4 linked regions of the Arabidopsis thaliana genome follow. Each later gene encodes a partner of the first gene's protein in a complex. Each region holds a gene or a part of one and is shown on either strand. Other genes may lie near its edges. The genes, in order: SCL30A, SKIP, AT1G60900 and SR45.

Evidence for each region.
Region 2: SCL30A (region 1) and SKIP share a complex: the UniProt entries of both Arabidopsis thaliana proteins name them as parts of the spliceosome.
Region 3: SCL30A (region 1) and AT1G60900 share a complex: the UniProt entries of both Arabidopsis thaliana proteins name them as parts of the spliceosome.
Region 4: SCL30A (region 1) and SR45 share a complex: the UniProt entries of both Arabidopsis thaliana proteins name them as parts of the spliceosome.

What each region holds. Positions count from the first base shown.
Region 1 is NC_003074.8:4,427,050-4,434,661, reverse strand, and holds SCL30A (SC35-like splicing factor 30A), read left to right. Parts: upstream 1-2,502; 5' UTR 2,503-2,663; intron 2,664-3,040; 5' UTR 3,041-3,059; coding exon 3,060-3,205; intron 3,206-3,539; coding exon 3,540-3,617; intron 3,618-4,342; coding exon 4,343-4,510; intron 4,511-4,599; coding exon 4,600-4,731; intron 4,732-4,833; coding exon 4,834-5,098; 3' UTR 5,099-5,406; downstream 5,407-7,612. Other genes in the region: AT3G13580 (Ribosomal protein L30/L7 family protein), read right to left, coding at 1-70, 168-247, 334-391, 490-587, 674-853; AT3G13560 (O-Glycosyl hydrolases family 17 protein), read left to right, coding at 7,378-7,444, 7,539-7,612. UniProt on the Arabidopsis thaliana protein: Involved in intron recognition and spliceosome assembly. Binds probably to multiple 5'-GAAG-3' repeats found in its third intron, suggesting autoregulation of alternative splicing. May be necessary for accurate splicing of the 3' region of introns.
Region 2 is NC_003070.9:28,997,481-29,005,131, reverse strand, and holds SKIP (chromatin protein family), read left to right. Parts: upstream 1-2,996; 5' UTR 2,997-3,168; intron 3,169-3,291; exon of another isoform or gene 3,292-3,467; 5' UTR 3,468-3,499; coding exon 3,500-5,341; 3' UTR 5,342-5,555; downstream 5,556-7,651. Other genes in the region: AT1G77200 (Integrase-type DNA-binding superfamily protein), read left to right, coding at 41-775; AT1G77170 (Tetratricopeptide repeat (TPR)-like superfamily protein), read left to right, coding at 5,596-6,999. UniProt on the Arabidopsis thaliana protein: Splicing factor involved in post-transcriptional regulation of circadian clock and flowering time genes. Associates with the pre-mRNA of PRR7, PRR9, ELF3 and GI, and is necessary for the regulation of their alternative splicing and mRNA maturation.
Region 3 is NC_003070.9:22,421,434-22,430,402, forward strand, and holds AT1G60900 (U2 snRNP auxilliary factor, large subunit, splicing factor), read left to right. Parts: upstream 1-2,460; 5' UTR 2,461-2,574; coding exon 2,575-2,685; intron 2,686-2,959; coding exon 2,960-3,252; intron 3,253-3,335; coding exon 3,336-3,485; intron 3,486-3,795; coding exon 3,796-3,863; intron 3,864-4,493; coding exon 4,494-4,570; intron 4,571-4,665; coding exon 4,666-4,713; intron 4,714-4,791; coding exon 4,792-4,851; intron 4,852-4,965; coding exon 4,966-5,026; intron 5,027-5,111; coding exon 5,112-5,224; intron 5,225-5,330; coding exon 5,331-5,777; intron 5,778-5,845; coding exon 5,846-5,981; intron 5,982-6,088; coding exon 6,089-6,156; intron 6,157-6,235; coding exon 6,236-6,373; 3' UTR 6,374-6,620; downstream 6,621-8,969. Other genes in the region: AT1G60913 (Rapid alkalinization factor (RALF) family protein), read right to left, coding at 7,172-7,411; AGL55 (AGAMOUS-like 55), read right to left, coding at 8,259-8,834. UniProt on the Arabidopsis thaliana protein: Necessary for the splicing of pre-mRNA.
Region 4 is NC_003070.9:5,675,275-5,682,991, reverse strand, and holds SR45 (arginine/serine-rich 45), read left to right. Parts: upstream 1-4,139; 5' UTR 4,140-4,305; coding exon 4,306-4,505; intron 4,506-4,627; coding exon 4,628-4,699; intron 4,700-4,782; coding exon 4,783-4,865; intron 4,866-5,053; coding exon 5,054-5,100; intron 5,101-5,186; coding exon 5,187-5,267; intron 5,268-5,357; coding exon 5,358-5,526; intron 5,527-5,615; coding exon 5,616-5,838; intron 5,839-5,909; coding exon 5,910-5,975; intron 5,976-6,114; coding exon 6,115-6,264; intron 6,265-6,496; coding exon 6,497-6,563; intron 6,564-6,672; coding exon 6,673-6,710; coding exon of another isoform or gene 6,711-6,714; exon of another isoform or gene 6,715-6,805; coding exon of another isoform or gene 6,806-6,815; exon of another isoform or gene 6,816-6,985; coding exon 6,986-7,067; 3' UTR 7,068-7,144; downstream 7,145-7,717. Other genes in the region: AT1G16630 (uncharacterized protein), read left to right, coding at 1-780. UniProt on the Arabidopsis thaliana protein: Involved in 5' and 3' splicing site selection of introns, and may bridge the 5' and 3' components of the spliceosome. Isoform 1 is required during flower petal development and isoform 2 is involved in root growth.

The sequences.
Region 1 (7,612 bases):
CCTCTGGTGGTTAAGCTTTCCAAAACCTCGTTTGTAAATCAATTCCTTCACACTTTTTAAGTTCGGGTATCTGAGGAAAACAAGAGTCGTCCATGGTAAGACTACCACTTACTAATGAGGTTAAATAAGAAAAGAAAGTTTTGAAATGTAAGCACGAAGAGGGGTACCCATAGGTTACATAGGGTTCAACACGGCGAAGCATGTTAATGGTTGCCTTGTTGACCTTCAAGAACACACCATTGAAAATCTGCAATAAATGATTTTAAGTGTCAGATACGATCCTTTTGTATCATTGGTTAACATATTACAAAGTTCTCATCATAAGATTGTTACCTGTCTTAAACGCAAAAGTTGCAAAATCTTCTTTGTCTTTGGGTCAATGGCATTGATACTGATGATAGAAACAAATAGATAGAAAAATGAGAAAACAGTTATAGAAGTAACACATCATCCTTATACTTGGGAGATAGTAATAGTAGATCATATTACCCACGGATACGGATAATGAAAAGCAGTTTAGCTTCTGGGTCAACATAAAAGCCTCCTTTCAATTTTGCCTCACGCTTCAGCTGGATTAATTCCCTTTCCTGAAGAAAACAAGTAGCAGAAACGCTCAATGAATTTGCATTTCTCACATTAGAAAAAATTGCAAACTAAGCTTGTAGAAAAATACTTTCTCCTGGTACTCCTTGGAGTACTGTTTAGCCCGGTTAAATATGAGTTTCCTCTTCTCAGCATTCTGCTTTTTGGCAGCCTCAAGCTCCTGTTTCTTGGCAAGTGCCCATTCTTCCTCCCTCTTTCTCTTCTTCAACACTGACTCAGGAACAACAGTCTTGGACTCTGCTTCAGTCATTTCTGTAAATTACATAGCCAAAGAACAAAATTGGAATACTCAATCGTTTAACTACACTTTTCCTGAAGAGAGAAACTGAAAAACAAACAAAATTAGATGCTACTGCTAATAAAATCAAAGCAAGAATTCCAGCTTCTTAGATAATGCAAGTGAAAACATATATAAAAATGTAACAAGTGAAATGGAATTGTGTTACACGAGTGAAACATAACCTTTCACCAAAATGATACAAAAGGTTTTAGGCTCCAAAAATCAATACTTTCAGGCAATTACTAGCATAATCCTCGTGTCTGTTGTCATACATATCAGAAAAAATCTTTTAAAAAACCTAGGAAATGGTCCACAAGTCATAGATCCAATTACATTCTATCACACAGGTTATGCACCTTAAAGACTCTTAATTTTTGTAAAGTAATCCAATTGCTAGATCACATGCGTTGTTTAGAGAGCTTTCTCAGGATTCCACCTTCTTCTGAACCAATAGCTAGATTTGTTTAGGCCAAATAAAGCCGAACCACTACCAAAACACACATAGCTTTCCTAAACCTGACCAATGCAATCGCGCAGCTCGAAACACGATTGATTTCTGCAACGATGTATGTTGAGAGGGCGAAGAGAAAGAAGAAGACTAACCGGCGATCACGGACGTCGGCGGTAGGATAGAGTGGAGGCGGGGCCGTTAACGAAGTGAAAAAGAGGGAGCGAAGCAAAAAAAAAAATCATTTTATAGTATGAGAAATTTTTGGACTAGGGCTTCGTTATGTTTTTATGATTTCGCTTTTACCCTATTAGAGTTGCGATATTTTTTGTTTTGACTCAGATAATTCGGCTTTACAAACAGACCCTTGGTTTATATTTTCTACTCTCTTCACATGTTTTTTAACTTTCAAAAACTTTTCTTATCAACTTTTTTGTTTCTTAAATTCAAAGATGAATGAACCACTCGACTAAAATAGTTTAACAGTTTTTTAGTTTATTTTCTTTCAAATTGGTATCTTAGATATATCATTCAATTTGACCATATATTTAAATCGTTGATATGAACTTTACTATTATTTCTCTTTGAAAAAAAAGAAAAATGTATGGCTAATGTCTCTTGAATGCCAAGAACACATTTTGTTAGTAACAAAGTGATTGGAATAAAACTAAATCGATTAATTTATTATTATGCATTTTGATTGGAGAAGTTGTCGAAACACACATACGGAAAACATAAAATTGTAAGAGTAACAAGTGATTTCAAATTTTAGTGTAGAATACATAACAAAAAAAGTTAGATATTTTCATTTTTTAATCAACCAAACATAATTTCAATGATAAACGATCAAAATAAACCGGCTTAATATAAGATATATCCTCATATTCTATCACAAGAGTTAGATTGAACCAATACTTAAATTCCTCTAAATTACTCTCATAAGAACAAGATTCAAACTTTACAATTAAGTTAAGAAATTAACTACATTTAATGGATCTGTTGATTTTAAAAAAAAAAACTACATTAACTGGGTCTACATGTAATATAAGAAAGTATGGTGCGTAAAACTAAACGTTTGGAAGGAATTTGGGGCAAAAGTTGACAAAGGGAAAAACGAAAGGATTTGTAGACAATACATAAGAAAGGAAATAAAATAAAAAATTGCAGAAAAAACCCTAATGACCCGTTCGCTTCAGACCATAAGATCCAAAACCATAAAACTAGGTTTCACACTTTCTCTCTAAACACTGTCTCTTTTCTCCGATACATATCCCGCCGCTTCCCCTGTGTTTTTCTTCGCCGTCCGTCGTTCTTTTCAACTCCTTAGCTGCGGTAAGTCTCTTGATGCTTAATCTGTTCTCCTTTCTTCTTCTTCGTCGTCTTATCTTATCGGCAGTGGTTAATTAAGGTCTATTGAATTGATCTCAAATTTGTATTCTTGTTTAGGATCGATCTTTCTTGTTGTTACTTGAGATGTTCTCCGATAGCTTAGTTCTTAGTTTGAAACTCATTATTAGCTAGATGTATATCCACATTCAGTAATTGTTTTATGGCTTGGAATTTGTAGAATTCAAATTTGGTTTTATACTTTTTTGAAGTCTTCTCTAGATGTGTGTAAGCTTCTGCGGTGGTTCTTCTATTTCTTAATCATTCAATCATATCTAGCACATTCTCTGACTCAATTTCTGTTGGTTACTTGATTGATATAGATATTAAAGTCTAGACACAATGAGAGGAAGGAGCTACACGCCATCACCACCAAGGGGTTATGGAAGGAGGGGCCGGAGCCCTAGCCCTCGGGGCCGGTTTGGTGGGAGTCGTGACAGTGATCTCCCAACCAGTCTCTTGGTTCGCAACTTACGTCATGATTGCAGGTATATTCTTTACTACTGCATGTGTATACTACTCTTTTCTCTCTTACACAAAATTATATATTTCTTTTCAATGATTTTGTTTCCTTGTAAGTTTTCGTGAGTCCATTACTTGTTTAGCCTTGTCTAAAAGGCTTTCCTAAAGCTGATGTATGACTCATCATCAAAGATTGGTTTGGTGGATTTTTTTGTGTGGCAAAAACTGATTTAGAAGCATGTAAAACGTATATTTCATTATTTTTAGATAGCGCATGCATAAACTTGTGTATCCATATTACTAGAAAATCACAGTTGTTTACAATTGGTTGACTCTGTTTTCTCTTGACCTTTTCTCCAGGCAAGAAGACCTCAGGAGGCCATTTGAGCAGTTTGGTCCCGTCAAGGACATCTACCTTCCTAGGGATTACTATACTGGGTGAGGATGCTCTGTAGATAAGACATTGAATGTTTATACATCCAGGGCATAATTTTACATTACTTCAATTAGACTATGTCTCTTTCTTATTGTTTTCTTTTGCTTCGTAAACCACCTTTTGTGAATCCTACATTCCATCGTATGCAGCTCATGAATTTGTTAGATTTATAAGAATTTTCTGAAAGGTCTATGTCAAACATGTCCGGTTTTATATCCAATCTTCCCAAAATCACATTTGGAGCCTTGAAACGTTTGTTTTATCTACACTTAGGTTTTCAGCTTAAGTCTAGTACACCTAAAACTTCGCCCTCTTCGAGTCACTTTAGGGAAAGAATACAGTGATATGTTCCATGTTCGGTCACACTTCGAGTCTGTTTATTAAAGTTGTTGAGGTTTAACAGTGAATCTAGAGAGTTGAAGAGACCAATGAAGTAATTAGAGTTCTTTGGAAGATGTTCTAAATGGTAGTGAAGGTTGGAAGGAAGTTGGGTTTGAATTCAATTTGAAGAGATATCAAGTCTTGGAGAAGTCATCTTTATACTGAAACTTGCAAGGTTTGCAGGCAAGTGCTTGCTTTTTCATGTTTATAACGATGGCTTCTATTGCAGGAGATTGTAATGCCAACTTTTTCTACAGGCTTCTCGTCAAAGCTGTACATCTTTCTTGCTTATTGTGTTTTTGGTTCTAGGCTGAGATTTTTTGTTTGTTTGTTGGATTTGTTGCAGAGATCCAAGGGGGTTTGGATTCATTCAGTTTATGGATCCTGCTGATGCTGCTGAGGCTAAACATCAAATGGATGGTTATCTTCTTCTTGGTCGTGAGTTGACTGTCGTATTTGCTGAAGAAAACCGGAAGAAGCCAACTGAGATGAGAACAAGGGATCGAGGTGGAAGGTGAATTGACATTCTTCCTAGAAAAAAGCATTAGTTTGTCTATACAATGAGATGACTTGATCTCAACTTGTATCTTTTCATGTTTGTAGGAGCAACAGATTCCAGGACAGAAGACGTTCTCCTCCTCGGTACTCTCGGTCTCCTCCTCCTCGCCGTGGTCGTAGATCACGATCACGTAGCCGCGGCTATAATTCTCCTCCCGCTAAAAGACATCAATCTAGGTAACTAGCTCTGCATGCCTGTGAAATTCATACTGACAGATATTCTTACAGTTAACTGATGGATTAAACCACCCTCTACTCTCCAACTCTGTCTTATGGCAGGTCTGTCTCACCTCAGGATAGACGATATGAGAAGGAGAGGTCATACTCTCGCTCACCACCCCATAATGGCTCAAGGGTTCGCAGTGGAAGTCCTGGGAGAGTGAAGAGCCACAGCAGAAGCCCAAGAAGAAGCGTGAGCCCAAGAAAAAACAGGAGCTACACGCCAGAACAAGCAAGGAGCCAAAGCCCTGTCCCTAGGCAGAGCAGGAGCCCGACCCCAGTCCCTCGTGGAGCACAAAATGGAGACCGTTCTCCAAGCCAGTGATTTATGATTACACCATATATCTCTCTACTCTTCAGTTTTTCAGTCTTGTTCTGTTTGATCAGATATTTTGTTTGCCTCAGATTGATATTTCCCTACTTAGACAGATATTTGTAGTGCTATTGGTATTTTGCTTTATGTTTGATCCATGGATGATCTTGAGACAGTATTTTGAATTAGCATGTGTTATTTGTCATCTTATCTTTTTAGATCTCATCTAACATTGTTATGGTGAAAAAGATGGTCCTATTATGGGAGCTTTTTGACGTAAGGCTCCTTTTGTTTTGAATCGGCATTTGAACACTTTCCAGCTATTTTCTTCTGCTTTCTTTTTCCAAAAAGCATCTAAGAAAAAAAAAACTTTGTTTCTTTCTTTCAAACAAAATGCCAAGATTAACGGTTTCTTACTTTTTAGTTTTTTCTCTTAACATTGGAAGTTTTATTCCAAAATCCAAACCCTGAGACAAGTCAAGTTATTAATTACAAGTGGTCATATGGTATATGAGTGTTACTAACGATTCTGTTCTTTTAGCCAGAAATTTTTTCTTCTGTTGACTTGTCTGAGTCTCTCGATCCGACAAAAGTCTTGGTCGTCGCAGGTTTTTGAATTTTCAGTTTTCCCGTAGAGCACTTAAGCTTGGATCGAAATGCACGGCGATAATGTCGATAATCAATTCTTTCTTCGTTTTGGAGAAATTTGGAAACAATTGTTTGCTATTTTAATGATCCCATAAAATAAATATATACGAAAACTTAATTAGGCAATTCTAAAAGACTATCAATTTCCGAATAATGGTGAATATATATATTTCTGAATCATTTTTAACGGTGATGAAAGAAACTGCCAAATCAAGAACAATTTGAGCATGCAAGAAACATTTCCAAGAAAACATTTGGGAGTCATGCACATGAAATTAGCAAACTCACGAATCTTTCTTTTGATTCAAGATTATATTTAAATAAAAATTGGTATAAAACGAAAGAAAATGAGAAGAGCGTGGTAATCGAGCCTCTTACAATCTTGTTTTCTTGTTTATTTGTTAATTTAGTATTCTTTTATTATGAAGGTGGAATATTGCCGTATTATTAGTTGTTAACGGACTTTAAAATATTTGTTAATATTTTTGAACTGTTTTATTTGATTTTCTTAAAAAGTATAATGCAAAACTTAGTTGTATTTGATGTTTTGTGAGCTATAGTATATGCCATGTCTTTTACTATTGGCCAAATTATATGTAGTTAAATGATGTTTTCATTTCCTTTTTGTTTTTGGGTTTGGATGACAAGTTGAGCTAATTAATAATTAGTGTGACACATTGAGGTAATTAATAATTTATTTAGAGCTTCTTTGAACTTTGAAGCCTCCCCTCACCTTCTATTCCACAAACACACCTCTCTGGTTTCCCACGCATTATATATAAGGAAAGATGAAACCAAAGTTTACTGAGAGCAAATCAATCTCTTAATTTGTTTTTGTTTTTTCTTTTCCATTTCCTTTCAATTTCGACAAATAATATTCGCCGAAAGACAAGAAAAAAAAGTGTTTACTTTTTGGGTTCCTCTTCGGTGGGTTCACTACACTAGTAACATCTCTGAACCTGTTCTCTGTCTCTCAGCAGCAAAACCTCGAGGCTTCTTTTTCTTTCATTCTCTCAATTTCTTCTCTCTGATCTGAATTCTCGCCGAGTGAATCTAGAACCAGGCAAGCTCCAATTAGGTACTTTTGTATATAATTTCTTGATTTTGCATCTGGGTGTTTCATTGTCTCACATTGCTGTCTTCGCTAGCTTTTCATTGTATCTTCCACATTCTTCCTTGCTCTGCAAATCCAGTTTCTAGAGCACATGTCTGAAAGAACGAAAACGACAAAAGAGTTAAAGATTAAAAATTGTGTCTTTTCGAATGCTCGATGAGTTTGTTTACTGTTTCTCCCCTTCTGTTCTCAGAACGTTGCTTAGTTTCCAGACCCCATTAGTTTACTTCTGTCGGAAATCCTCTGTTTTCTTAATAGCCATGAGATAGTTATCTAAAATTGCTTTCTTGAATTCACCAAAAAAAAAAGTTGCTTACTTATTTTTAGGGTTCTTACCATATTTGACCAATTATAACTCTCCTGAAAAGATTAAAAAAAAACAACAGTTTTTTCTGACTTCAGAGTGAGAAATCTACAATCCATTGTTATATTAGGTTTCAAATTTCTGTTAAAATCATTAGCATATGGCTCAATTTTGAACCTTTTCAGAGTTTTTGTAGGTTTAAGGTTTTCAAGCACTCTGTTTCCAATGCTGCTTCCGAGATGGTTTGCAGAAGCGTTGTTGCTCCTACTTTCAATTCTTGCCTGTTCAAACGGTAAATTTCACATGTTATATCTATCTCTAAGTTTACTTTTTTATTACTTGGTGAAGTTCATAGACTCTCAATGTTAATCTGATTCTTTATACAGCTGCATTTATCGGTGTAAACATTGGCACTGATCTCACCAACATGCCACCGCCTTCAGACATTGTAACACTTCTC
Region 2 (7,651 bases), on another chromosome or scaffold:
CGTACTCTCTTCACACTCACTGAGTCAAACTCACGTGTCAATGACCGAGTCATCCATTATCTCCGTCAAACAATCGTCTCCGGTGCCGGAGGAGGAGGATCATCATCATCACCAACAAGACTCCCACCGAACCAACACCAAGAAACGTGTAAGATCCGACCCGGGTTACCGAGGCGTCCGGATGCGAACGTGGGGCAAATGGGTCTCCGAGATCCGAGAGCCTCGCAAGAAGAGCCGAATCTGGCTAGGCACTTTCTCCACACCGGAAATGGCGGCGCGTGCACATGACGCAGCTGCTCTCACCATTAAAGGAACTTCCGCCGTCCTCAACTTCCCGGAGCTCGCCACTTACCTTCCCCGTCCAGCTTCCTCCTCTCCACGCGACGTTCAAGCCGCAGCCGCCGTAGCGGCCGCCATGGACTTCTCCCCCTCCTCCTCCTCTCTCGTAGTCTCCGATCCAACCACCGTCATCGCCCCAGCTGAGACGCAGTTGTCTTCCTCGAGCTATTCAACGTGTACGTCATCGTCGTTGTCACCGTCAAGCGAAGAAGCTGCGTCGACGGCGGAAGAACTAAGCGAGATAGTGGAGTTACCGAGTCTAGAGACGAGTTACGATGAGTCATTGAGCGAGTTTGTGTACGTTGACTCGGCGTATCCACCTAGTTCGCCTTGGTATATTAATAATTGTTATAGCTTTTATTACCACAGCGACGAAAATGGCATTTCGATGGCTGAACCTTTCGACTCTTCCAATTTTGGCCCCCTTTTTCCTTAGTTTTATTTTTAAATAATCTCTTCTTTTAAAAACATTTAGCCTCCAAACCTCTGAAGTTTATTTAATTATTGGATTCAGACCAGAGTTTAATATACTTGATTAAACCTGATAGTACCATATAATGTTTATTGCTCTCTTTTTTTTGATCGGATCTTCTAGATATTTTGTACGAACACGCCAATTGTGATTGGACGATAAATGGTTTTTTGTTTATATTTTGCTAATTAACTTATATAGTTTAGGTGACCATTTTTTATACTTTAGGTGAACATTTGAGAATTAAACTATTTATATCAAAGTAGCGGTAGATAAAAGTATTATCTGAGATGGTTTGTTAGTTGACATATATTGAATCTTTTCAACTTGGTATTTATTATCACCCTCTGTATTTAATTCACAAAATTTCTACTGTTAGCTTCATATAACCAACTTTTTCAATTTAAATTATTGTTTACAGTGAATGAGAAATACAAGTACAATGCAATATTTAGGAAATACACTTTTGAGAAGAAAAATAGAAACTCATTTTCTTTCCCTAATTAAAAACAATTTGTACCAGAGAAGTAAAAGATTATCGTTCTACCAAAACGAATTTGCAGGTTAAGGATTATTTATCATTTCCTCTTGTTTGACTTTGTTTGCATTAGTCAGACATAATTAATGGCTTGACCCTTAATTTAACATGTCCATGCACTAACTCATATGCAAATCCAACGATGTGAAATTTAAAACCTTTTTTTTATTCATTTTTAATCTTTGTAAAACGAACTTATATTATGTTTGAACAAATATTTTTTCATACGCAATCCTTAGATGGGGAAATTAATACCTTTGTAACAAAAAAAAAAAAAAAATGTTAAATCAACTAAGTATTGGGTGAGTCTTCTCAACGAAAACATCAATCAACACCGGCCTCATAAGTTGATTAAATTAACACATTTATTATAATCATCGTACATTGATTTGAATCAAAATTAATTGTTACGTTAATTAGTAATGCATCTAACTATCCCGTAGGAAAAGGCCATTATATTGGGATCCGCGGTCAACGGAGGTTCCACCCACGAGCACGGTCTTTATTTGTTTTTTCCTTTCTCAAATATATATACGGATGTATGATTTTTTGCTTTTGGGGTTAAACAAATATGAATTACTGTGCTTAGATCAGAAATAGACACTTTTATACAAATGATTATATGATTACTGTTCATAGCATAAGCTCCTATGAAAACAAATAATAATCGCAACAGCCGTTTAACCTAATCGAATGCTGAAAAGCCCTCAAAATAGTTCATCTAATCCATGAATCGATTTAACAGAAAAAGTTGAAAATTGTATGCATATGATATACTCAAGTATATTCCGAGTTTTGAGTTGTGTAATGCAAGGAGTCAAGGACCATAGTTTGTCGTTGAACACAACCACGCCAAGTTGTCCACCAAAACTGGAAACTAACTACCATGCCGTTGTTTCCATAGAAGCAAAACCATTAACCTTCCCATTATCCCGCATGGCCACATATATGTTTAATAATATTTCTCACCATACATTTAAGTCTCTCTCGTAGTCGTTATTTACATAGCCTACGTAGTTCATTCATATCATTTTTGTTTCTTTACCTTATATCAAACAAATTGGTTGTTGATTAGAAAAACATAAATTGGTTCATTAAATATCAAACTAACGCCATCAATCTATTGTTTTTTTATAAAAAAATGAAAGAGAAGAAAGTTTGTTGATATGAAACTTACACTTGCTTTGAGTTTTGATAGACAAACCAAAGCCTAACTAGTATTTCCTCTATTGGTACTTGAATTCTGAACTTTTTCACCTTCCCTTTCGAGGTGGTTTAACAGTATACCAGTTGAGATGTACCAACACCAAATTCTTATACTTTTTTTTCTTTTAACCTTGAATTCAGTATTTTAAACGAAACTATGGGAATGTGTTTGAGACGGATTTTCATTAAGGACAATGCAAATAATTATGAGATGCTCAGAATTGTTGTATATATCAAAAAGCCAACACCTATAGTTATATATATAACTTTCTTCGATTTAAAAACAATAAGTCGCTTTGGCCGAGTGGTTAAGGCGTGTGCCTGCTAAGTACATGGGCTCTGCCCGCGAGAGTTCGAATCTCTCAGGCGACGTTATCCTTTTCGTTTTTTCGTCTATTTTTAAACCGACTTACATAGACACTGCGTATAAGACAATTGATTCCTTTTTTTTGTTGTTAATCCTATCAACCCTAGAAAAGGCTTCACGCCCGATTTCTTTTTTCCCCAGAAAAAGGCTTCACTTCCGTTCGTTGTTCTTCATCGGTCTGCGCCGCCTCGCACATCGTTTCACCTTTCTCAGAATCTCTCTTCCCGTCGATTAGTTTCCTCAGAGGTTAGCTTCTTCGATTTCTCAGATTCAATTCTGCTTTTTGCTTTCCTCCTGTTGTTTTTAGGTTTTTGTCGATCTCTATGTTCAGCGATTCCTAAACCCTACTTGTTTTCCGCTCTATTGTAGTGAATCCAACCCAGATTTTTCAGATTTTAATCGGAATTATTCGGGATCTAATGCTCGCGTCGAGTTTATCGCTAGAAAACCCTAATTTCGGAGGATCTGTCACTTTTATTATCAGAAGCTTGTTGTTGTAATTACGGATTAGGTATGTCCTGATCGTTATTGTTCTTTGTTTGCAGGTTGCGATTTGTTGAAAACCTTGATTTAGACTATGAAGTCTCTTAATGATCTTCCTGCGCCCAAATCAACCACTACCACGTATTATGATCATTCTAATGATGCTTGGTTCAAAAACCGAGTCACTGAATCCGAGACGGTGAAATCCTCCAGTATCAAATTTAAAGTGGTGCCTGCTTACCTGAATCGTCAAGGTTTACGTCCGAAGAATCCAGAGGATTTTGGCGATGGTGGTGCTTTCCCGGAGATTCATCTTCCTCAGTATCCTCTTCTTATGGGTAAGAATAAATCCAATAAGCCTGGAGCTAAGACTCTCCCTGTTACTGTCGATGCTCAGGGAAACGTGGTCTTTGACGCTATAGTGAGGCAGAATGAGAACTCGAGGAAGATTGTTTATTCTCAGCATAAGGATATTATTCCAAAGTTTCTGAAAAACGAGGGAGACTTGGGTACTGTTGTTGATGAAGAGGAGGAATTGCAGAAGGAGATTCAGGAGACTGCTGAAGAAACGAAAGCTGCCATTGAGAAGATTGTGAATGTGAGACTGAGTGCAGCGCAGCCTAGTAATATAGCAAGGCAATCGGGAGATTCACAGTACATTAAATATAAGCCATCCCAGCAATCTTCTGCCTTCAATTCTGGTGCTAAAGAGAGGATCATTAGGATGGTGGAGATGCCTGTAGATCCACTTGATCCACCAAAGTTCAAGCACAAGAGAGTCCCAAGGGCTTCTGGTTCTCCGCCTGTTCCGGTCATGCATTCACCGCCCAGGCCTGTTACCGTCAAGGACCAGCAAGACTGGAAAATCCCTCCTTGTATCTCCAATTGGAAGAATCCGAAAGGTTACACAATCCCTCTTGACAAACGTCTAGCTGCTGATGGAAGGGGCCTACAAGACGTTCAGATCAATGATAACTTTGCCAAGTTATCAGAGGCCCTCTATGTAGCTGAGCAGAAAGCTAGAGAGGCTGTTTCAATGCGTTCCAAGGTGCAAAAAGAGATGGTGATGAAGGACAAGGAAAGGAAAGAGCAGGAATTGAGGGCTCTTGCCCAAAAAGCTCGCTCCGAAAGAACCGGTGCTGCTATGAGTATGCCTGTCTCATCTGACAGGGGTAGGAGTGAAAGTGTTGACCCAAGAGGTGATTATGACAACTATGACCAGGATAGAGGAAGGGAAAGAGAAAGGGAAGAGCCTCAAGAGACGAGGGAGGAGAGGGAAAAAAGGATTCAGAGAGAAAAGATACGAGAAGAGCGTCGCAGGGAAAGAGAGAGGGAGAGAAGGTTGGATGCCAAAGATGCTGCCATGGGGAAGAAGAGCAAGATCACCAGAGACAGAGACCGTGACATCAGTGAGAAAGTTGCTCTTGGAATGGCATCTACTGGAGGAAAAGGTGGTGGTGAAGTTATGTATGATCAACGTCTGTTTAACCAAGACAAAGGAATGGACTCTGGTTTCGCTGCTGATGACCAATACAACTTATACGACAAAGGCTTGTTCACTGCACAACCAACTCTTTCGACTTTGTACAAGCCAAAGAAGGATAACGATGAAGAAATGTATGGAAACGCTGATGAGCAGCTCGATAAGATCAAGAATACTGAGAGGTTTAAGCCTGACAAAGCTTTCACAGGGGCTTCAGAGAGGGTGGGTAGTAAGAGAGACCGACCTGTTGAGTTTGAGAAGGAAGAGGAACAAGATCCTTTCGGTCTTGAGAAGTGGGTTTCTGATTTAAAGAAGGGTAAGAAACCTTTGGACAAGATCGGGTCTGGTGGAACTATGAGAGCAAGTGGCGGTGGTGGTAGCTCTTCAAGGGACGATGACCACGGCGGTTCTGGTCGAACCAAGATCAATTTCGAACGCAGTGACCGGCGTTAAAAGTCAAGACAAAGAAAAAGCTCAGTAACTGATCTTTGATTTCAATATATAACTTGTTATTTTGGATCTGTTAAAACAGTTTGCTTTGGATTATCAGTATTTATGTTGTTGTGAGTCTCTTAAACTACTCGAATACAATCTTTCAGCTTCATAATATCAGATCTTTTGAGCTTATTTTAGTTTCTTTTTCACTGTTACAACTTTGTGTACTTAAGAATCTTAGTTTTGAATCAGGACAACAACAAAAAAGACACATGTTCTTCTCTGGTCTTATCTCCAAGCTTCATGTTCATGGTACTAAGAGAACAAATCACTTCACGATCTTTCACCGTTTGAATCATTTCGTCACTACATCATCTTCCTCGGTTACGCCTCTTTCGCCTCAAGATCGAAACAAACTCTTAGCTACTCTGTTATCAAACTGCACTAGCCTAGCTCGTGTTCGTCGGATCCATGGTGACATCTTCCGTTCACGAATCCTCGATCAATATCCGATCGCTTTCTTATGGAACAACATCATGCGATCTTACATTCGCCATGAGTCTCCTCTCGATGCAATTCAAGTATATCTCGGTATGGTGAGATCGACTGTTTTACCCGATCGATATTCTCTTCCGATTGTAATCAAAGCAGCCGTTCAAATTCATGATTTTACGTTGGGAAAGGAGCTTCATTCCGTCGCCGTTAGGTTAGGGTTCGTCGGAGATGAGTTCTGCGAGAGTGGGTTCATTACATTGTATTGTAAAGCAGGGGAATTTGAGAACGCACGTAAGGTGTTCGATGAAAATCCTGAGAGAAAGCTGGGGTCTTGGAACGCCATTATCGGAGGGTTGAATCACGCTGGTCGAGCTAACGAGGCGGTGGAAATGTTTGTGGATATGAAAAGGAGTGGACTTGAGCCTGATGATTTCACTATGGTTAGTGTGACTGCTTCTTGTGGAGGATTAGGTGACTTGAGCTTGGCTTTTCAGTTGCATAAATGCGTTCTACAAGCTAAGACCGAAGAGAAGTCTGATATCATGATGCTGAATTCGCTCATTGATATGTATGGAAAATGTGGGCGTATGGATTTAGCGAGTCACATATTCGAGGAAATGCGACAGAGAAACGTTGTCTCTTGGAGTTCTATGATCGTGGGTTACGCAGCTAACGGGAATACATTAGAGGCTTTAGAATGCTTTCGTCAGATGAGAGAATTCGGTGTCAGACCAAACAAGATCACGTTCGTTGGAGTTCTCAGTGCTTGCGTCCATGGAGGTCTTGTGGAGGAAGGAAAAACATATTTTGCGATGATGAAGTCAGAGTTCGAGCTAGAACCGGGATTATCGCATTACGGATGCATAGTTGATCTATTGAGCCGTGACGGGCAGCTTAAGGAGGCAAAGAAAGTTGTTGAGGAGATGCCGATGAAGCCTAACGTGATGGTTTGGGGTTGTTTGATGGGAGGGTGTGAGAAGTTTGGGGATGTTGAGATGGCTGAGTGGGTGGCTCCATACATGGTTGAGCTTGAGCCGTGGAACGATGGTGTTTATGTTGTCTTGGCTAATGTGTATGCACTCAGAGGGATGTGGAAAGATGTTGAGAGAGTTAGGAAGTTGATGAAGACGAAGAAGGTTGCTAAGATTCCTGCCTATAGCTATGCTTCAACGACATTTTGAAACTTGTTTCTCTACATGTTCGAAAAATGTAACATCATAACAAAGAAGATCAAGATAATTTTTCTAATTAGATCCTTAATCCTTCTATTTTATTCACTCACTGAGAAACAACACCTGACATTGCAGTTTTAGATTTAGTAAATTAAGTACTCAGATATCGTGTTGGCAATTTTGCTAGTCATTTCCGACATCAAGATCATGTCGAGAGGAGTTTAAAACTCGATTTCAACTAATTGAAGGCTTCCGGTTTAATGTGTTCAATTTCCGGTTTACTGATTTCATTTTGGAAAACAACAAGGCGGGACCCAGGAATTGTTTTGACAGCGGGTAGGACCCAATTTCAAAGCAAAAATTATGTAAACAAAAAAGATAGGGTCCACACGCTTTTAGCCCGTCTTAATTTCCCTAATTGCAAGTTTAGGCTTCTAATTTACTATTTTACGAGTTATTAGTATAGCACCATATGAAAAATTTAAATTCTAGATGACTAGATAGCATTCAAATCAAAATGTTGTAAATCATTGGATTATTACTACCGTTATAATATCCTAGAGATTCAAAATCGTCATAATAATATTTTACTATCTTGTTAAGTATGTATATATATATAAACATGCGTGTGGCATCGTCGTATAAGACAAATCTATAGAAA
Region 3 (8,969 bases), on another chromosome or scaffold:
AATTAATTGATTTGTTGTTATGTTAATATATATATTGTGTGTTATGATTGATGAATTGTTTTGTAATCTCTTAAGATCATAATGAATTGTTAGCGTATGGTTGTGGCCGAATTGTGATTTTTTTTTTTTTTTGCTAATCGAAATATAATGTCACATATTCATAGATCATAAAATCTCTTGTTCAAACATTCTTTGGTGATCAAAGTAACGTGAAATTTAAGGATTCCGCAATTCAAGATAGTGAATAGTGGATGTTGTCAAGATACTGAATAGTGGATGTTGTCAGTACAACAATTGTGAACGATTAGAACGTCCATCTATCTACCAAGCTATCGACATTTAAGTGGCTATAGTGCTAGCTATTTAAGTAGTTATGCTATATGTTGGCTTCAATTTATAGAATTAAGCTTGTTATGAGTTATTATTGGAATTAGGATTGTGATTATAATTGTTTTTATATTTGTGCAATTATAAGATATACCAATATATTTTAACAAAAAGTAAAAGAAAAGAAATAGGAGTATAAATATAAACGAAACACAAAATAGAACTGTTTAGGAGAATATAAAACTTTTACGTTGTCTCTACCTCTTCAAATTCACCAAATTTATTTTTTAAATAGTTTCCATCACTTGTCAATGTCACATCACCTATCATCTATCTCTCTTTTTCTCCCTCTCGTCCTTTTTCATCACTTTCATCATTCATGCATCTCTGCCCCCATTCTCTATTTTCTTCTATATTTCTCTAGTCAACCAAAAATTTTGCCTTAAGGAAACCAAAAGAGAAATCCAATTGAAAAGGATATTAAAATTAAGGGTAATATTAAAAAGAAAATTTTGGGCCCAACATCAGAACACCATTTTATGACTGTTTCTATTGTCGACTGTTTGACAAACTGAACAAACAATGGCTTTGATTGGTGAACAAAATCAAAGCACTACAATTTCTACAATTTATAAATTTATCAATCAAATATCAAAATTGTTACACTGTTTTTTTACAGTTTTTCTGTACTATTTTTCTTTTTCTTTTTTATACATCATTATGTACCATCTTACCATTATAACTACCAGGTAAAAAACTTGTAAATTTTTATATTATTAATAAGACCCAATATATATATATATATATATATATATATATATATATATAAGTTAGCAATCCAATGGTCTTGCAGTCTTTCATTATTGTAATGATGCTTATTAGGTTTTGTACTAAAATTAATGCTAATCAATTTAGAATTTACATAATAATATTTAGAATCATCTGTTTTTGTAACTATCTTAGTTTTAGAACTAAAAATAAAATAACCCAAAAAAAACTGGTAAGTACTAGTCTCTAATAGCTATGCTTTCTTTCTACAATATTATGGTAGTCAAATTATAAAAATATGGGGATGTTTCGAATCTTTCTACCGTAAAACTGGTTGTGTCCAAACGTATATATTTGGGATACAATAAAATAAAAAATAAGACTATTAAGCCAATGAATCATAATGAGGCCATAATTTTAAACGATTAATGGGCTCCTAAATATCTATCTTCATAATTCACACTCCACATGAATCTATTCCTAGTAACCCTAAGTGTTTTAATAATAGGATCTAGAGATGTTCGAAGATATAATTGCATTTTACTTTTCGTCGTACTTATGACGAAGCAAGCCTTGGACATCTCCGTTTTAAAACAGGGATCTCATGATCTTGAAAAGGATTCTTCAAGAAGCACAGAAAAAGACAAATTCGTATGAATTATTGACTCATATCAAAGTTATTTCATATAAACAAAATCCTATGAATTATTGACACTAGTCAAAACTCAATGAACAGATTGATTGGCCGTGAATGCTACGGTCCATGAAGGGATCGAGTGTGGACCAGTCTCTGCAATATATGTTGTTAGGTTGACTTGTTTTCACTAGAATCGTATGTTTTTCCAATCCATCAGTACGTTTAACTTCAAACCACCGTCAAATGAAAGCTAATTTAAACTTCTTCTTTTTTTGTAATATTTTGTGTCAACAATTGAATTTGATCCATGGTGAGAGAAACCTCTAAACGCCGGAGATATTTGTGATGTTTTAACGTGGTCTTTCATCTTCAATTGCTAGTTACGCCTAGAAACATATGTGACTTTAAACTATCAGATAAAGACTTATAAAACACACTTTTAAAAAGTCATAAACAAAGACATCTAATAATAATCAACCCTTAATTACACAAAAAATAATAATGTAAAACAATATTAGAATGATCAATTTTTAAAATATTTAGTTTTTTTTTTTTTTTGGTGATAGAAACTAAAAATTTAGACTATAAGCCGATAAAGCTGATAAGCCCATTAAGTATAATGAGACCCTAGTTTTCAAATTTGGACTAGACAAGCCCATTTACGGTTTTGGTGTAACACCAAAAAATACTGTTCAATTTACAATAATACCCATATATCACTTCATCTTCCTCGAAGAATCTTCATAATTTTTAATTCATCCTCCATTAGAATCCCTAGGGTTTTCTTCCATACACAATCAGACTCAACGATAAGTACCAATCGGAGAAGAGATCACAAGTGGATGATGAGTTACGAAGGCAACGGAGATGGTGTCGCTATCTCCACCGAAAACCACAACGAGAACTACATATCTCTAGAGAGCTCGCCTTTTCATGAAGACTCCAAGTCTCGAGTATGTTACACTTTCTTCTTTACATATCTTGCGTTCGATTCTGTAGCTTTTAGGTTTCTCTCGTGAATTAGACTGGTAATCATAATTTGTTCTCCACTTGTATTGTAATTTGGTACAATTCTCGGATTCTGCTTGTTGAATTTATGTTTTTGATAGTTTGATTTGAAGGATTCACTGGATTTAGAGTATATATTATCATGTTAAGTTCATATGTTCTCTTTAGAAATCTGGGGATAGTATATGAGAGAAGCCTTTTGACATTTGTTTCCTGCAGGAATCTCATGATCTTAAAAAGGATTCTTCGAAAATCAGTGAGAAAGACAATGAAAATGGACGTGATAAAGACGGAAACAAAGATCGTGATCGTGAGAAGGATCGTGATAGGGAGAAGAGCAGAGACAGAGATAGGGAGAAAAGCAGAGATAGAGATAGGGATAGGGAGAGAAGTAAGGATAGGCAACGAGACCGTCATCATAGAGATCGTCATAGGGACCGTAGCAGAGAACGTAGTGAGAAAAGAGATGATTTGGATGATGATCATCATCGCAGAAGTCGAGACCGTGATAGGTACTCATTAGTGTGTTGCAATTGTTTTTGTAGTTTTAGATTGTTTTATTCTTAAAATTGAAGGTGTAGTCATTTCTCGACAGGAGGAGGTCTCGCGATCGAGACAGAGAGGTGAGACACAGGCGACGGTCACGCTCTCGGTCAAGGAGCCGCTCTGAACGTAGGTCAAGGTCAGAACATAGACATAAGTCTGAACATAGATCACGCTCACGGTCGCGATCAAGGTCAAAGAGGTACCTGGGCTCTCCTGCTATTTTTATCTTTTCTAACTAGTTCTTTCCGTGGCCACATTGCAATGTGTTATGATATTGATGTCAAATCAAATAAAACCATTATTGTTTAGTATTTGATGTCTTTGTTTTGTTGACACAATATGATTATCATGGTCTTCTACTGGGTTGAACGGTCCCTCCTTATATGATTACCAATATTTTAGTCTGATCTGGGTCATTGATGTTTATGTGTGTTTCATACGTTTACTTGGCATTATTTTTTCGAACTCGTCTCTACTGATGTCTAACCAATTATATTTTGCTCTTTCAGCAAGAGGAGAAGTGGATTTGATATGGCGCCTCCTGATATGTTAGCTGCTACTGCTGTTGCTGCAGCAGGTATTTGCTTCATCATCTACTCAGGGTTATTATATTTCTTAACTGCTTGTTGTTTTTGATTTTACGTAGTTTGGAAAGATCATAGTCAATTACACGGTGTGACTTTGGTAAGCTGCAATTTTATTGTTTACTCGTGAACAAAGAGGACTTTGAAGTCTTGCTTTCTTCATAGGATGTCTTGTTATTTTTGTTTGACTGGTGGTTCTGGAACTGAGAAATTTTTTGTTTGTGTTTTTTTGGTGGTGTTTGTTTGTTTCTGTGTCTTGTCTTTTTGTAGTAAGAAGGCTATGTTGGGTTAGTTGCCCCACTGTGCTGACAATGAGCCGACCTCTCTAGCTTTAATTGTACAAGGAGGAATCAGTGCAACGGTTGTCATGGGTATTTTTCATCTTCGACTGGCAACTATATGCCTGTTTTCGAGCCTTACAATCTCTGACAACTAAAACGAATATTACATCACAACTTTTCATTTTAATATTCATAAGTTGTTGGTATACTTTCTACTTGTGGGTTTTGTAAGTAGCAAGGTGTTATCTGTAGCTTTGTACTTGTTGGTAGGTCTGCTCCTCCGGGAAACATAATAATGTATCTAACAAACATTTTTATGACGCATACTACTTTACCTAGCAGGCCAGGTTCCTAGTGTGCCAACTACTGCTACTATTCCAGGGATGTTCTCAAACATGTTTCCAATGGTCCCTGGTCAGGTATAAAAATTTGTATTTTTGTGTCTCTTATGTTCCTCTTTTCTTTTGTTTTATGCGAACATGCTCAGAACTTCTCAATCTTTTTTCTCACATAGCAACTAGGTGCGCTTCCTGTACTGCCAGTTCAGGCAATGACTCAACAGGTACGATCTATCAATCTATCTTATTCTTAGGTTCTTCACCTTTTGTCACGATTCCCTTCCTAAAATATGTAGTCGCAGGCAACTAGGCATGCTCGGCGAGTCTATGTTGGTGGCCTTCCACCAACTGCTAATGAACAGGTTTGTTACTTTTGTTTTGTTTAAGGTTTTGTGACTTTTTGTTTATTATTGTCTATTTAAACCACATTTCAATATCCATTGTATGCCTACTGAGAATGGGTTTTCATGTCCTAGTCGGTGTCAACGTTCTTTAGCCAAGTGATGTCGGCCATTGGGGGAAACACTGCTGGGCCAGGTATTGAAAAGTTCATTATATTTTTGTCATATTGGCCGCAAGTCTATACGAAATCTCATCCTTTTTTTGGATTATTAATTCATAGGTGATGCGGTGGTCAATGTTTATATAAACCACGAAAAGAAGTTTGCTTTTGTAGAGATGAGATCTGTTGAGGAGGCTAGTAACGCAATGGCATTAGACGGCATTATATTAGAGGTGATTTATTAGCTCTTCTACACTTTAGATGTTTGGTGTTTATTAGTTACAATCTGTATTATGAGTATTGAAACCTATCTGAAATCATAGCTTTTTTCATCTCTAGGGAGTTCCTGTAAAGGTGAGGAGGCCAACTGACTATAACCCGTCTCTTGCTGCAACTCTTGGTCCGAGCCAGCCTAATCCCAACCTCAACTTAGGGGCTGTTGGATTGTCTTCAGGGTCTACTGGTGGGCTTGAGGGTCCCGACCGCATTTTTGTGGGCGGACTTCCCTATTACTTCACAGAGGTACAGATCAGGGAGCTCTTGGAGTCTTTTGGGCCCCTAAGAGGTTTCAACTTGGTCAAAGACAGGGAGACTGGAAATTCGAAGGGATATGCATTCTGTGTTTACCAAGATCCGTCAGTAACAGATATTGCATGTGCCGCTCTAAACGGGATTAAGATGGGTGATAAGACACTTACAGTTAGGCGTGCAATCCAGGGTGCAATTCAACCTAAACCCGAGCAAGAAGAAGTCTTACTTTATGCCCAACAACAGATTGCTTTGCAGGTAAAGGATTCTGATTCACTCTATCTAAATGATCAGTAATGCTAAATCTGTCTCAAACTTTGTTGCAGAGGCTTATGTTCCAACCAGGAGGTACTCCCACCAAGATTGTCTGTTTGACTCAAGTGGTTACAGCTGATGATCTTAGAGACGATGAAGAATATGCAGAGATAATGGAGGACATGCGACAAGAAGGTGGAAAATTCGGTAAGCAATTAGATTTTCTTATTGTCTGTTCTGACATTATACCAATAGCACATTACTGAGGCTCATGGTCTAAAATGAACTTTGATAAATCATTGTTGTGTGTGTAGGTAACTTAGTGAATGTTGTGATTCCGAGGCCTAATCCAGATCATGACCCAACACCAGGAGTTGGGAAGGTTAGATTTCAGTCCTCAGATACAAATGTCTACCAAATTCATATATAAATTGCATACTCTAATGGTAATACTAATGCAGGTTTTCTTAGAGTATGCGGATGTGGATGGCTCATCAAAGGCCAGATCGGGGATGAATGGAAGAAAATTTGGAGGAAACCAAGTAGTGGCTGTGTATTACCCCGAAGACAAGTATGCCCAAGGCGACTACGAAGACTGAGCTATCTATCGTCTTCTTCTTAAGCTTTTAGTTTGGATCTCTTAGCAACAAGTTTGGTTCTTTTTTATTTTTAAGTTTTTTACATGTTTAGTTCTCTCTCTACTAAATGGAGAAATTTGTCTAGAATCTGACTGCAATAGTACTTGTCCAGGCACAATCAATTAAGGTGTGTGTTGGTAATAGTAGCTTTTGGTTTCATTGAACACTAACCAAACCACATCAGTTTATATTATTGTTCTTTTAAAAACTAAAAGACCAAACCACATCAGTTTCTAAATGCAATGCTGGAACATGTGCAATTGCTCTCACTAAACGTGAAATACTGGATTTATATTAGAAAAGTAAGATAGTAGGCAAGTAGCACCAGTGGTCTAGTGGTAGAATAGTACCCTGCCACGGTACAGACCCGGGTTCAATTCCCGGCTGGTGCATTTGAGCGTTGATGAAATTTGCTTTAAGCTAAGGTTGGGTCCTTAGCAATTCTCCGATGAATCGGATAATATAGCCTCATATCTGAGCTCATTTGTTTTTTATTTTATTTTACAACGAAAGTTACATGTCATGCTTTCACAAGACACATCTCATGTTACACGAACTTGAAGTTATGCCTGATAACACATTAATTTATAATTTATTAAAATATATATAACAATAATTTGAAGTTAAAAAAAATGAAAGAATTTTAAAATAATTAAAATTTGATAATGTAACAAGTTCCATATCACATCAATAATGTAGATTAGTGATAAATTTTTTTTCATATTTAGTAGAAAATGATTTGTATATATGAATACATAATTAAATATGATACTTTTCACGATAACAATGTGTAGTGTTTTGACAACCAGGAGGAAGATGGTACTGGTTGACTGGAACTCTGACACAATTTTTGGGATCTTGAGTGCAGTCTGGAACTCTATCTTTTGCAATAGCTCTATATTTTATGTATCTTCCTTCTCCGAATCCGCTGAACAATGATAATACAATCACTATTGACACAAAGAAAAGACTAGTAAGACTCATTTTGTGTGCAGCCATTGTTTAGAAACCGAAAAATGATGTATTTAATCTTCTTGGTCTTTTTCTTTGTTGTTGTATTTTGCAGTTTGAGTTGGTGATTATTGGTTTTTTTTTTTTTTTTAATTTATAACAAGAGAGATGATTCTAAATACAGAAGGCCAGTGCATAATATGTGTGCATAAGGAACTTAGTGGATCTTATATTTCAATTTTGTTTCATTAGGAGGAATTTATGTTTCTTTCATTTTCTTTTTGGTATGAAATCTCTAGAGATAATTCTTTTCGTTTGTTCTGTTTGGTATGAAATCTCTAGAGATAAGAATAGTTACATGTCTTAGAATGAAACATTCCCTGCGATCTAATGGATAAGTTTATGGATAGGTTTAGTTACGATTATAGCAGCAATAATATATGGGAAAACTAGCTTCATGGACACAGAGACCAGCACTCATCTTCAAAAGAACACAACATGAGTTTCTCAAATCCTCTTTCTCTATCTCCAGTGGAATTACACACTACTGTACCAAGCCACCACGAGGCCGAGACAGAGCCAACAGAGTTCGAGAAGAATCAGAAACGGTACAAAGACCTAATCGCCACCTTTCTTCATACCAAAGGCTGGACAACTGACTTGTTTGCTAATAAAATCGACAATGAACCTTTCTTTTGTTATTTAATTAAATGTATTTCAGTCTCAATCAAACTGAACAAAATTTTGGTTTTATATTAGTAGCTTTTTTTTTTCCCAAACCAAAACACCGAAAAAATCCAAAAAATAATAATGCACAGCTAGATTAGATAATAGCCTAAATAAACAAGACATGATGATTAAGTAAGTTGGTTAAATCAAAGGATCAATGTTGAAATCAGTAATAACGATCATCAATGTGTAGATTATCCACTACGTTCTTTAACAAACTTGCAGAAGCGGAAGTTTCACCTTCGAGTTTGGTAATTTGATTTGTGTCTTTGTAGCCAAGCTGAAGAACCTCCTCATCCTCCTGATGAATCACTAAACTTCCATCTCTTTGATTGCTCTTCACGGCATCATCTAATCGTAGCCTCACATTGTTCAACATCCTCGAAACCGCATCGACTGCCTCTTTCAACTCGTCGACGTTCTCCAATCTGTCAAAGGCTTGGTCTTCCCACCAAAACCCTAACCCTGATCTGTTATCTTGGTTTGTGGGAAGAGATGGATGCTGATTGTGAAGGAGAGAGGAGACAACGTGATCGACAGAGGAATGACCGAAAGAGTAGAAAGAAGCATGGGAGTGGGAAGAAAGAGGAGTTGCTAAGATTGCGATTTGAGTCCCCGGAGAGAGGAGACAGAGCTCTGAAGCTTTGTGGAAGAGTCCGCTTTTGCGTTTTGTGAAAGCAACTGCTCTCACGTTCTTATCTTCGATTCTCTTCATCTCTATCTTTCTTTTTGTGCCTCCCATATTGAAACTTCAAAGGAAGAAAGCCAAATTACAGACAGAGATTGTTTGAAACTTGTAGAAAGCTAATTACACAGAAAGACAGAGATTGTTTTCATCGTCCTCTCTTTATACTAGTGTACTCTCTTCCCATATCTC
Region 4 (7,717 bases), on another chromosome or scaffold:
CTTGACGATGTGCAGTCTGCTGCAATCAGTAGTAACCAGCAAGAACAAACCGGAGTAGCCAATGTTGAAACTGTACAAGAAGAAGAAGGTGTTGGGGAAATTGCTGGAGGTAGCCTCAGTGTTTCAGAAGAAGCTACAGATGTTGAACATGACGGTAATGAAGTAGAAGAAGAAGAGAGTGGGTTTGGTGAAGTTGTTAATGATGCAGGTTCGGAGGACATTTTGTTGAGTGGCCAGAAGAAAGTGTTAGTCTTGTTTTCGACTATGATGGTTATACTTGCAGCAGTAGCAGCTGGTTTCCTATTAGCCAAGAAGAAGACAAAACCTGTGATGCTGCAACATGAAGATGGCGAACCAACAGCAATCTCTGCAACTAAAGTTGTCGAGCATGTGCCAGTAGAGAATCTGATCAGAGAAAGGCTTTCTTCATTGAATTTCAAGGAAGAAGAAGAAGAAGTTGGTGATGACAGAAAAAGAGAGGTATCATCATTCCCTTCTGAGATGAGTTTCAGCTTCAGTAAGAACAAACCATTACACAGCTGCAGCAACAAGAAAGATGATCTTAAAGAACATCAAAGCGGAGGAGGAGGCAAGAAGAGTAATGATAGCGGTGAATCCATGGCTTCCTCTGCATCAGAGTACTCCATAGGTTCTGTTTCATATGGAAGTTTCACAACATATGAGAAGATACAAAAGAGAAGTGGTCACGAAGAGAAAGAGATGATAACACCTGTGAGACGTTCAAGCAGGATCAGGAACCATCAACATTCTGGACAATGAGTTAGAATTAGCTTTTGACTTTATGATCTACTGATTTGTAGGAAGGCTTTTCCATCTCACTGAAGCTTAATTAGTATGTTGCTTTCTTAATTAGTAGGTTTGATTCTCTTCTTTAAAGTTTCTGGCTTTACTATTTGTTTAAGACATTGTACCCCAACCTTGTGGCCTAGTTTTAATAATATTGTTCATGTTATCTGAATCCTCTTCTTTGTATCTTGCAAAAACGATGGACAATTTTCAAACACCATGATTCATGATTGTAAAAGGTTTTGCAAGAATAGGACCAAATGGCGTTGGAAGTGTTTTATGATGATAAATCAGATTAGTTTATATAGATGTAGAAGTGTCAATTGGGCTGTCCAAAGCCCATTGGTCATGTCCACTTGGACCATTTTTTTCATGGGTTTTATTGGTTGGTCTTTAATGGACAATGGTCTAAAAATTTGTCCAAGACCATTAAAGACCATTGTCCAATGGTCAGCCCATGGCCAGCCCATACAATGATGTTTATATACAATGCATTTTCACACAATCTCGTCAAAAGCTCTATTTATAAAACCATAACATCAACATGAAATCAAACATGCATGTACCTGTTCTTCCCAGTCTTGTAATCAACCGTGACAACTCAAACACGCATCTAAGACTCTCTATATGCACCTACAAGTAAAGAAAAAAGCCTACAATGGCTACATGGAGAATGATTTAACAGAGAAACCCATTTCAATACTACTCCAACATCTAGAAATTGGAAACCAGAAGTGGCCATCTTCAATAAGCTTAGGTAAAACAATAAGCTTAAACAACATTTCCACAATGTAATCAATCACAAATGATTATAAGTAAGAGACAAAATCCAGAATCAATTCCAAACCAAAATCTGTCATCCAAGTTGCAACCTTAGACCGGATACCATCACAACCTATAACAATCTGTCAAAGACATACATCATCAAATCAGCCATGTACTGAGAATAATAAACACATAACCATAGGCTCAGAGCTTAAGAGAACAACCATGTACTTGTTTCTTCCCAGTCTTGAAACGTTCATGCAAGGGTGGTGTTTGTGTCCTCTTGACCTTGGATCTCATCAGTTTCTTCAATAAGAAAAACCGAGCTATTAATCTAAAAGCTGCAGTCCAAAAGCCATATAAGTTTACTATTATAAACGAGTTCAAGATGTGAATATTACCAACTTCTTGAAATCCACGAAACCAGTTTCTAGTACATAGGAGGGCTTGCACATTAGTAGGTAAAAGGCAGCTTCTATATTTGTTAAGCACACGACTACCTATACTAAAAGCTGATTCCGATGCCACGGTAGTGATCGGAATGCTTAAGATATCACATGCCATCGATGACAATTCTTTAAAACGCGAGACATTGTTTTTCCAATATGCAATAACATCCATATCTCTAAAAGAGACCATATCTAACACAGGCTCTTCCAAGTACATATCTAATGGTGATTTTCCAGTTCCATTTCTTTCAGAAAAGTAAGAGTAAAACCCCTGAAATATGACCAACAAAACAAAATTCTCACTAAGTATAAGAATGCATTTTCAGAAGCATTATGCTTTAAAATGCTTTGCATAGTATCATTTGCAGAAGCATTATCTACAGTTAAAGTAAAAACTTTCTTCTCAATTCCCCAATCTTTCAACAGCTCACTAAGCTTCATTGCTATAGCTACTCCAGAATGTGGAGGCGGGAAAGCACAGAAAGATAAGATCTTCGTTTTCAGAACACCATCAACATCTACATAATGAGCTGTTAAGCAAATATAACTTTCAACAGTTAAAGCTCTCCACAAATCTGTTGTTAAGCATATTCTACCCGGGATTATAGCTAACTTTTCCTTAAGCTTAATTTTCTCTCTTTCATAAATCTTGTAGACATCAGAAGCTGCAGTATTTCTGCTCCAAAATTCTATATAAGGGTTAGCATATGTAAAGGCTTCTCTAATTCTTTCATATTCGACAAACGAATATGGAAGATTATGTTGAACTAAAGCCACTGCAATCATTTCTCTAAAGACCATCATATCCACCTTTCTGCTAATTCTAGGTGTACTTCCAGGAGTCTTCTCACAAGATCTCATATGACGATTCATGGTATTAGTACCATTTCGTCTCAGATTCAAGTGATAAGTCTGCTCACAATATTTGCATGTAACCTCAGTTTTCCCATTAGGATATTTCTGTCCTCTATCGAAGTTTTTCCAGCATGCAGCACGAAATCTACTTACACTACTTTTACCTCTCTCAGCTGTCCCTGAAGAAGCAGTTTCATGAGGTAGTATCTGATCCATTTCTGGATCTTCATGGTCCATTTCTTGATCCTCAAGATTAAAGTTGTCTTCATCAACCAAGTTTTGAGTATCCAATTCCATATTTCTGAAACAAATAAAGACATACACACGTTTAGCAGTGATAAACAAATAAAGCATGAACTTGACTAAATCACTAGCCTTCTGGAATAATTAAGCATGAACTTACAACACAAAGGGTCTCTACATATTGATGTGCTTCAATTCATAATGAAATTCGAAATGGCGAAACATAAACAAAATCTGAAAAGTGCCCATTTGCTAGCTAGCTCTCCTCATATCCAAAATTCACAATTGAACTTTGGACAAACCCACAAGCTAGTAGAACTAACCGGAGTAGGAGTTGAGAGAGAGGTCGAGCTTGGTCGTCGCCGAGAGAGAGCTTTGTCGCCGGGAGAGAGAGCGTCGTTGCCGAAAGAGAGAGAAGAGAAAAAAATTTATGTGTTGAAAAAATTGATGGGCCAACCATAAACCGTGTGGGCTAGCCCATTAAACCCATGGACAAAATTGGTCTTTAGACCATATAGCCCGTTTTCATTACGGGCCGACCATGGACTGTCCATAATGTTGTGGACTGGGCTTAGCCCATGGTCAGATGACCATTTGACACTTCTATATAGATGTATGAATAAACCTTAATGGTTTCGGTGTTATTCAATGACTAGATTCAATCTAAGATACTTTGATTTTGAGATTGCTCTTAAGTTTGTACCAAGGCAACAACAATATCAACAAATTATGGGACAACAAGAGAGCTATAGAAAAATGGTATCTAATTGATCCTAATTGGATGGTGTACACGACCACAGACAATCGATTACAACATTTTATAAGTTGTTGAATTTTTTATGGGAGTTACTAGCTTTTCTGTTTGAATTTTCCTGTAGGATTTGAAGAACTTTTGATTAGTGACACATTCAAATCTGATATGAAAAATGGGAAAGGACACAAATTGAGCTCATTATGGTATTTATACTTTATAAAATGCTTTAAAAAACATATAAATCCCTCAATTTATCAAGCAAATAAAAACCTGCCACGTATCATCTTCGGTTTAATTTGCAGTCCGCGGAAAAAAAAAGGAGACTGGAAAAAAAAAGTCACAGTCTGTCTGTCTGTCTCTCTCCTCTAATCTTTTTTATCCGCTAGGGTTTTGAAGCAAGGTTTCTCGCGATTTTCTCGATATCTCTCGCCCATGGCGAAACCAAGTCGTGGCCGTCGTTCCCCCTCCGTGTCTGGCTCGTCATCTCGTTCCAGTTCCAGATCTCGTTCGGGTTCGAGCCCCTCCAGGTCTATTTCCCGCTCACGCTCCCGTTCTAGATCGCTCTCTTCATCTTCATCTCCTTCGCGAAGCGTCAGTTCTGGGAGTCGCAGTCCTCCACGTCGTGGAAAAAGGTTAGGGTTTCTTTCAATCACTTACCAATTGTTCGAATTGGATTTGTGTAATTTCGCTTTCATTCTTCTTGGTTCGTTCAGCTCGAATTCGAATTGATGTTCTGATGTATCTTCTTGTGTAGTCCTGCTGGACCTGCTAGGCGAGGTCGCTCTCCTCCTCCTCCACCATCTAAAGGAGCATCTTCACCTTCCAAGTAATATCTGACTCGTTCACATAAATATATTCTAGTGTTTATGCTTTCGTCATTACTGACTTTACAATCTTTTATGCTTTCAGGAAAGCTGTTCAAGAATCTCTTGTTCTCCATGTTGATTCTCTTAGCAGGAATGTGAATGAAGCCCATCTCAAAGAAATCTTTGGTATGTTGATTTCTCTTTTCTCTGTTTCTTCTGCTTCTTCTAATCTTACTACATGATAACTGTCTACACATGTCCGCTAATGTCATCAGTAGTGTATACGGCATTACGATCATCACTGGTCTTTTGTTTTCCTTGTGTTGGCTAAATGTTAAGTCTTATAACATGGCTTGGTTTCATGTTATTATTAGGCAACTTTGGTGAAGTTATACATGTCGAAATTGCGATGGATCGAGCTGTAAGTTGCTATTCTCTTTACTCTCTGTTGTTTACTTGCATCACTTGTTGAAATCTGCTCATAATTCCTTTGAATATTATTAACAGGTTAATCTTCCAAGAGGACATGGTTATGTTGAGTTCAAGGCAAGAGCTGATGCTGAGAAAGCTCAGCTCTACATGGATGGTGTATGTCTCTTTCCAATTATGAAATGCACTGTACTTGACATATTGACAGAGAAGATTTATGCATGTTTTTTTTTTGTTCACTGAACACAGGCCCAAATTGATGGAAAGGTTGTTAAAGCAACGTTCACACTACCACCTCGTCAGAAAGTATCTTCACCCCCTAAACCTGTCTCAGCTGCACCAAAAAGAGATGCTCCAAAATCTGATAATGCTGCTGCTGACGCTGAGAAAGATGGTGGTCCCAGGCGCCCAAGAGAGAGTATGTCAAATCCTTATATTTTGGTTATTTATAATTGTTGTAGTATATGCTTTATGTTGTGTTAATTAGTATCATCAATATGTGCTTAGCATCTCCTCAACGGAAAACAGGGCTTTCTCCGAGAAGGCGATCACCTCTACCTAGGAGAGGCTTATCACCTAGAAGGCGATCACCTGATTCTCCCCATCGCCGGAGGCCGGGCTCTCCTATCCGCCGTCGCGGTGATACACCTCCTAGACGTAGGCCAGCATCACCATCTAGAGGCCGTTCTCCATCTTCTCCCCCTCCAAGACGATATAGATCTCCTCCAAGGTTAGTTATGGCACCATCTGTTTTGTCTGGTGTGTTTCAGATTCGATAGCTCACCTTTTATCTGTCAGCAGGGGCTCCCCTAGAAGAATTCGTGGCAGTCCTGTTCGAAGAAGGTCTCCTCTTCCTCTAAGACGAAGGTATGTCTATTTGGTACCTGAATTACACCCTTAGTAATCGAAGTTTAGGAATCACAGCTTTATAGACTATATTACTCAGTAAATTAGACCGGGAAAAATGTGTCAGTTTTATATATGTTTTGTATTCGGCGTGTTTCAGGTCTCCACCTCCAAGGAGACTACGCAGTCCTCCCAGAAGATCTCCAATCCGTAGGCGTAGCCGATCCCCAATTCGTAGGCCTGGTCGCTCTCGTTCAAGTTCCATCTCACCCCGCAAGTATGTTGGAACTCATTTAAACTTTTTTCTGGGGTCTCTCTCGTGGGTTTTATTTTGTTACAGATGCATAGCTAAGACTGATTCATAACAAGTTTTTAAGTCTTTCATAATTCATGAGTATACCCCAAGATCCTACATTGTCTTATCCTTTTACCTAGGTTTCTGACATACCAGCTCCTAGAGACGTTGATACCCAATATGACTAAGTTATATAGATCCGTCTGGGGTTTGTTCATGAATTAATTTTGTCTTTAACTGTAAGCAGGGGACGAGGTCCAGCTGGGAGACGTGGGAGGTCATCTTCTTACTCTAGTTCACCAAGTCCCAGAAGGGTAAGGGCTTCTTGCAGATCCCTTTTTAGCTATAAAATTTTTGATGCCTTGCGAGTTATATGTCTTGACTCTTGACTTTCTATCATTTGTGCATTATTAAACCTTACAGATTCCTAGGAAGATTTCAAGGAGCCGCAGTCCTAAGAGGTAAACACTTTCTGTCTTAACACTAATCCTCGTCTTAAACTGGAAACACTTTATAGTCTGTAGAATGCATTAATTGAAGAAGTTCCAATGTTAAGTTATGTATAGTAAAGTTAAGGGTTACCCCAATTCCTGATAAAAGACATAGCATAAACATCTGGGACCTATACTTTCTTGGTGAGTTTGGTGATGAAACAGAGAAAAATAGAATTGTTGTGTAGAAATTTTTTGCGTTGAAGTCTAATAAAAGAAAATGGGTTGTTGTTGGGTATGTTTAGGCCACTGAGAGGAAAAAGAAGCAGCAGTAACAGCAGCAGCAGCAGTTCACCGCCACCACCACCTCCACCTCGTAAAACTTAAAGGTGATAAAAATTAAAAAAAAAAAAAAAAAAACTTGAGTCTTGATGTAGCTCTCTTTCTCCATCTTTATCGTTATCATCTGTCTCAGCCTCTTTTCTTAGAACAGATAAAATGTTTACCAGTGACCAAATGAGAGTTGTGGTTTTTGTAGTGTTTGGATGTTTAATCTTCTTTTGTGGATCTCCTCATTAGATGCAACGATAATGACTTGGTTCTTTTAGCTGGTTGTAATTCCCTAATATATTCAGTCTTGTTGAAGAATGGCTGGCTCCTTCACCCTTTTCTTATTATTTTAGTTAAAAGAGAAAGAAATCCATACAAAGACTGGTGATCCAAATACACAAGAAATTGGTTTTTTGTTTCATTCAGAGAAATAAATAATTATAATTTAAGGGCTCCTAAGATGCACAACAACAATTTTGCATCAAACCATGCATCTTAATGAGAGTGCACAAACTTTTATTTAAAACGAAAAATAGAGTTTTCCTCAACTTCACACAGTACATACCACTCAAAGAAAATAAATATACATACCACTCTGCAAGTGCCCATATGGGGAAGATGTTTCTGTAGGTAACATAGTTTAGAAAACAGTTCTTCATGAACACTCCTGTCATTTCCTGCACAACAGAGCAACAACTCTGTTTTTA